2 linked regions of the Cricetulus griseus genome follow. The protein of the gene in region 1 purifies or fractionates together with the protein of each later gene. This does not show direct contact. Links are inferred from orthologs where the notes say so. Each region holds a gene or a part of one and is shown in the gene's direction. Other genes may lie near its edges. The genes, in order: caspase-9-like and Dcc.

Region 1 (3,171 bases):
CCAGGCCTTTCCCTTTTCAGGAGAAGTACCTTGTGCTATAGTGTTTCTCCGCCGTTGTGACATTGGGTGTCTGTTTTTGCCCCCTACAGAGCAGAAAGACCATGGCTTTGAGGTGGCCTGCACTTCCTCTCGAGGCAGGGACTTAGACAGTGACTCTGAGCCAGATGCTGTCCCATACCAGGAAGGCCCAAGGCCCTTTGACCAGCTGGATGCCGTGTCAAGTTTGCCCACCCCCAGCGACATCCTTGTATCCTATTCCACCTTCCCAGGTGAGCCCATCTGTGCACTCGCCCTTAGCCCTGGAGGCAGCTATGTCCTGAGGTCTTGTTTCTGCTGGACACAGCCTGTGGGGTCCTTGGCAAGTCACTTCACCTCTCCTAAGCCCCTTCTCAGGGTGAAGCAGGCAATGCTTCAGACTGGCATGTAGATTAAGAATAATAATTCCCGTTGGGGTTAACCTGCAGATTCGACAAGGGAGCGGCTGGCACTTCCCTCAGCACTGTGATGGGCACCTGGTGGCAGGGCAGGGATAAGGTGCATCCTTCAATCTGCTTGAGACCCCTGACTTCTCAGAACCTCGATTTCCATACTGAGAAGATGGGAGCCCCAGGCAGTCAGTGGTGTTGAGGGTGAAAAGTAGCAGGGAGCCACAGGGATGGGGCCGCCTTTGCCACCTGTCCACAAACCACAGTCTGGATCTGGCTGTACCCAGCTTCTTCTGCCAAGGAGAGTGCCACTCCACTGTGTGGCAGAGTTCATCCTGTCTTCCTGCAGGTTTTGTCTCCTGGAGAGACAAGAAGAGCGGCTCCTGGTACATAGAGACCTTGGATGGTGTCCTGGAGCAGTGGGCTCACTCTGAAGACCTGCAGTCCCTCCTTCTCAGGGTGAGTACTTCTTTCTGAGGGCTGGAGGGGCCTGGTGAGCAGGGCAGCAGGCTCTAGTCTGCTGTAAATGCTGATGGGCCCTGGCTGAGAGTCAGGGAGCACGTTGTCTCTCAAATGAGGAATGTCACCATGGCGATGACGTTTGTCCTGTTTGCAAAGTGCCATCTTTTCCCGACTCTTTAGAGACAGATGAGCAGACAGGCATCTGGTTCCCAGAAGACAAAGTGGTCTTAAGTGCCAGGTGGGGTGGCTCAGTGGCAAGAGCATGGTACCCTGAAGCCTGGCCATATGCTTCTCGCTTAGCTCTGTGGCACATCCCCACGTGCTCTCTTTTTAGATTGTTCCAGGTAGCCCAGGCTGGCCTAGAACTTGCCATGCAAAGAGCAATGAACTTGAACTTTTGGTCCTCCTGCCTCTACTTCCTGAGTGCTGGGATTACAGGTGTTAACCACCACACCCAATTTATGCAGTGCTGGGGGTGAAACCCAGGGTGTCACGTATGCTAGATAAGTAATCTCCCAACTGAGCTACATCCCCAGCCCCATGCTATGACTCTTTATCTTCAAGCATTGTGATTCTGTCTAGATTGTTCCCTTCCTGGAGGCCCCAATGAGAATGAACAGGGAAGGGGCGTGGCAGTGCCTTGCTTCATAGCAGCCAGCCACCTCAGGGCACTTGGTTGTACCCATAAGGTGTATACCAGGCTTTTTCTTTTGGCCATCAACCAGCTGTCAAATCATGGAGACTTCTTTTTTTTTTTTTAAAGAAATTTTTTAAATTAAAAAAATTTTTTTTGAAACTTTATTTAATATGCATTGGTGTAAGGATACCAGGTCCCCTAGAACTGGAGTTACAGACAGGTGTGAGCTGCCATGTGGGAGCTTGGAATAGAACCCGGGTCCTCTGGAAGAGCAGCCATTGCTCTTAACCACTGAGCCATCTCTCCAGCCCCCGAGACTTCTTATTAGTTATGAATGCTTGGCTACACTTAGGCTGGTTTTTGTCTAGATCTTTTCCCTTAAATTGACCTGCTTCTCTTTATTTACTTCTTGTCTTTGGGGTTGTCCTTTCCTTTCCTTCTGTATACTTTCACTGCCCTCCTGTGTGGCTGGCAGATGCCTGGCTTCTTGCCTCCAGTGAGACCTCATCTTTCTCCCTCTTTCCTCCAGTTTTTGCTCCTCCCCCTATTTATTCTCTGCCCACCAGGCCTGCCTATCCCTCTCCTTCCTAGCTATTGGCTGTTCAGCTTTTTATTAGACCAATCAGGTGCTGTAGGCAGGCAAGGTGAAACAAATGTGAAACTCATCTTTCATGAGTAAACACACATCCTTACATCATTAACCAGTGCAACATAAACAAAAGTAACACCGATGCACAGTTCAGGTAAACAAAGGCAGCACATCTCTGCCCCCTGAAAAGATTGCTCCACAACAATTAGGGCCCGGTGGGTTTCCACTGCTCTGCCCAGTGCAACCCCTGGGCTCTAGGAGTCACTTCCGGTCCTGCGTGGGGCCCTACAGGACAGAGGACAGCTGAGCAGCTCATGTTGTCTCTGGGTCTCCTCTTCCCCACTTCCTTACCCCTAGCGTTTCTGTCTGATTGGAATTGTGAATTTTTATATTAGAGAAGTTGGATTTTCCATTCTTTCCCAGTAGCTGAGGTGTTTGTTCTATAACCCACCCCAGGAGACTGTAGGTAGGGTCACCTTCAGATGGCCCCTTCAGTGGCCCGCCCCCTCAGTTAAGGCCTCAGACAAGGACACTGAACTCACAGATTGCCCCTGTGATTCTGTTTTGCAGGTCGCCCATGCAGTTTCTGAGAAAGGGATTTATAAACAGATTCCTGGCTGTTTTAACTTCCTCCGGAAAAAGCTGTTTTTTAAAACTTAATGAGACTGGGGCTGCTCCTTGCCTGAATGTTCCCCTAAACCTTCATGGCCTGGAGGTGACTGAGACTGGACTGTCCTGCAAAGCCAGGGTTTTGGAACCGTGGCAGGCCGCTCTCTTCCCTTCTTTGGCAGACAAGCTCCTAACAGCTCCCAGGTTGGTGAGAGAGGCAGAGCATTGGAGGGAGAGGGACAGAGTGCTGTCATTGTCACTGTGTCTCTTCAGCTGAGGTTAGGGACTGTGGCCTGTGACCCCCAGGTCCTCTCTAGAGCAGGACTTCTCTGAGTCTGCCCTACTGACATGTGGGGTTGTATAGTCCTGTCATGGGACTGTCTTGTGTATCAAAGGGTGTTGCCACGAGCACCCTTCCTGAGTTTTACCACCCAGAAATGTCTTCAGAC
Region 2 (3,826 bases), about 160 Mb from region 1:
ATTAATTAAAAAAACCCATTTTAAGCAAGTATAATGAATAAAAATGGAAGATTACCAAACTATGTTAGAAACTGTTTCTTCTTCAGAAAAAAGAATATATATATACATATATGCTTACATACACATATATGCCTTCCTGTACCTCTGAAATTGAGAGGATACAAGATATCCTAACAGTGGAAGAATCATTAAAGAACAGTTTAGTAGCAAAAGGATGTTTATAGCCCATTACTCAAGAAATTCCTGATGAGAGATTAAAAGAACACTTGCAACATGTGTAGCATATTTTCACACTATGGCTTGCTCTCTGGAATTCCCTTCTCTGCTAGAAATGTAGTTTATCTGCTCTATCCTTAAAGTGGGGACTGAGCACTTAGGACCACTGAAACTGGCCACCATAAAAATGAGTAAATAGTCAAAATAATTATTTATGTAGTTTAAATTGATAAAAGCTATAGAACATAGTGTTATATTATGCAGCAAAATTCTAGAGGGATTGCCATGGAGAATGATGAAAATAAATTGTATTCACTAATATAGAAAATAAAACTTAGCCATTGTCAAAAGTCTCTGGATCACATTACGTCCATAGATAAATCACTACAGACAACATTGCTTTAAATACAGTGGGGTTATTCTGTAGTTGACTCTAAAATATTCAATAAATAACAGCCATGAGCATTTTTATTTAAAAAATCATAACTAGCAGGATTGACTTTTGTCATTTCCTAAATAGGATCAAGACTTTATTACAAAGGATGAGAGACCATGTTTACATAAACTACATGCTAGCCCATGACATGGAGAAGTCAAAAGTAGTTCATACATTAGACTATTCTTCCTCTATTCATAAAATTCTTCTTTCAAAATCAGGCAAAAATACAAATGTGAAAGGCAATACTTGCTGTAGTTTGGCAAGAAACAGTTTTTCCTGCTAAACAAACCTACTATATGACTCAAATTCCTGTAGAGGCTACAGCTTCTTCTGTTCTCTTTTCATCATTTCATCAATCCATTTGACTTTAAAGGAGCCTTTAGTAAGAAGAGACATCAAAAGAAATATGGAAAGCCTGGGCTCTGTCATCAAATTTTAATCCCAGAGCGCTCTCTCTCTCTGTCTCTCTGTCTATCTCTCTGTCTCTCTCTCTGTCTCTCTCTCTGTCTCTCTGTGTCTGTCTCTCTCTGTTTCTGTCTCTCTCTCTCTCTCTCTCTCTCTCTCTCTCTCTCTCTCTCTCTCTTCCTTCCTCTCCCTCTCCTTTCCTTTTGTTCTGTTTCTGTCTTCAGTTTTAAAAATATTTTCTCCAAAACCACAGGCTAGTAACATGCTTAATAATTCATTGGAAAGCAGAGTGGTGAATAGGGGCTGAGAATTTGAAAACCAAGGTAAAGAGGCAGTAATCAACAGACTGGCCAACAACAACTCAGCTTTGAGCTTGGTTATTAAAATAATAAACTGTATAAGCTGCTGCTGCCTCTCTGATCTCATTCCCTTAAATGACTTCAACTGTCCAGTCTTAGAATTCTGTCAGTTTCAAATTTTTGTTAGTGAGATTCCTTACTGCGTCATATAAAGGTCGGTTTTTTATCTGCCATCTATAAATTTGAGTGTCTCAAAATGAAATGATTATTATTACCACAATGTAAGCTTCTGAGATTGTAGTTGTCCCAGCATAGGATAAGTGTAAAGGTTTTAGGAAAGTTTGTACAATCACACATCATTCTTCAGATTCCAATCATGTTATTGATCAAAGCACCTGCATATCTCAGTGGCAATCTCTCATTCTGAAGGTAGTTAATTTGTCTTCCTATCAATGATGTTCATTCTTTCCACTGCACTTGCAGTTTTAGAATCAGGAAGGTAATATAGGAATGCCTGACTGGACTGAAAATGGAACTAACCTATGCATGAGAAAGCAGGAAGATGAGCACTTCTACACTTTAATATTACAACCTAAGAAACCTGCTTACCAGTCCCCATCTGATACTAGCTTGTAGACATCAGATGAATATTGACCCATGTGACCATGCATATGTGCTCACTCTGGCTTTGATAGAATAACTGATATATATATATATATATATATATATATATATATATATATATAGGTTCTTTCATAGATTTTGTGTGTCGACTGAACAATATTTATAGAGATATAATCTAGACAATAGTAAAAGGAATATAAAAACACAGCAAAATCAAAGATAAAGAAGAAAATTAAGATGTCCAATAGCATTTATTTCCATTTCAGAAAAAATCACCAGAAATAACACTTTTATTGTTATTTCAAATATTTGATAAATCATGAAGCTGATAATTTAGTAAACTAAACCTTGTAAGAAACAATGTGCAACAGTCAAACAAGATGGGCTTTTAAGATATACATAATCTATTTAAACATAAATATGAGGAAATACTGTCATTTTTAACATAGCAATACTGTTCTTATTATATTTCATGGTTTAATTAATTGCATTTTTTCTGTTCTTCTCATGTTCCCTTTCATCTTTATTGCCATGCATTTAACTCATTGTGATGTGTTACCACTGGTATTTATTTTAACTCTTTGTTTACACATTCGTTTGTTTCATTTGATGGGTTTTTAACCCAGATCCCACTGACCCAGTTGATTATTATCCTTTGCTTGATGATTTCCCCACCTCGGGCCCAGATGTCTCCACCCCCATGCTCCCACCAGTAGGTGTACAGGCTGTGGCTCTTACCCATGAGGCTGTGAGGGTCAGCTGGGCAGACAACTCTGTCCCGAAGAACCAAAAAACATCCGATGTGCGACTTTACACTGTCCGATGGAGAACCAGCTTTTCTACCAGTGCCAAGTACAAGGTGAAAGTCAAATTGATTGCATGAAATTTAAAATTATCTTCCATGTGTTGTTGTTTTCAATGTATCCTGGCCTGTCGAAAAACACTCTTCTACAGTGATTTTTACGAGGCATTTTAGTAATTGAATATCTAAAGTTAGTTAAGAAGAATTATTCTTTTGGAAATCGACAACAGTTAAGGTAGAAAAATATCAAGAGCTGCAAAATGATGTCTGAATACCACCAGACACTGCCTGAACCTGACTTTTGCTTCTGTAGGAAAGAAAGCCATTTTCCTTGGAAATAACAGGACTCCAATAACATCTTGCGAATAGATACTGATATGATTCCTTTTATTTGGAACCTAGATTGCTCTCTTAATAATACACATACGCACACACACACACACACACACACACACACACACACACACACACACACACAGAGAGAGAGAGAGAGAGAGAGAGAGAGAAAGAGAGAGAGAGACAGAGAGAGAGAGAGACAGAGAGAGACAGAGAGAGACAGAGACAGAGACACAGAGACAGAGACAGAGAGACAGAGAGAGAATAACAGGGAATACATGATGTGAAGATTCCTTATAACATCCTAGGAATGTTTTGAAAGTGATTAACATCAATTTCCTTACTTAGCTTTGAAACCGTCTTCCTGTCATAAGGAAACTCCCTTAAATGAACCAGACTTATACCAGCCTCCTGTTTGTATAATAATTTCCAAATCATTTAATACTCATTCCAGGGAACCTTAGTGATATTTAAGAACAGTCATTTCACTTTTCCATCTCTCTTGCCCAAGCTTGGAGATTCTAACAAAGAGTTACTAGCAAAGAAAGGCATATAGCCTTCTAAATCCCAGACCATGTTAACATGTTTAATTGGTAGACAGTGTCAACAAATTAGAAAGATCAGCATGCACCTGTTCTGTATCTATAACAGTTGTAGATCATTTGTTCTGAAATAAAGATTTAATTCTGCTTACTTCACACATTT

The links.
Region 2: the proteins of caspase-9-like (region 1) and Dcc purify together in Homo sapiens (co-immunoprecipitation; 3 studies listed by BioGRID and IntAct, with this or other methods). This does not show direct contact. The link is inferred for Cricetulus griseus from reciprocal best matches to the Homo sapiens genes CASP9 and DCC.

What each region holds. Positions count from the first base shown.
Region 1 is NC_048595.1:11,416,460-11,419,630, reverse strand, and holds part of caspase-9-like, read left to right. Parts: intron 1-89; coding exon 90-269; intron 270-774; coding exon 775-884; intron 885-2,683; coding exon 2,684-2,773; 3' UTR 2,774-3,171. UniProt on the Homo sapiens protein: Involved in the activation cascade of caspases responsible for apoptosis execution. Binding of caspase-9 to Apaf-1 leads to activation of the protease which then cleaves and activates effector caspases caspase-3 (CASP3) or caspase-7 (CASP7).
Region 2 is NC_048595.1:168,279,878-168,283,703, forward strand, and holds part of Dcc (netrin receptor DCC), read left to right. Parts: intron 1-2,609; coding exon 2,610-2,842; intron 2,843-3,826. UniProt on the Homo sapiens protein: Receptor for netrin required for axon guidance. Mediates axon attraction of neuronal growth cones in the developing nervous system upon ligand binding. Its association with UNC5 proteins may trigger signaling for axon repulsion.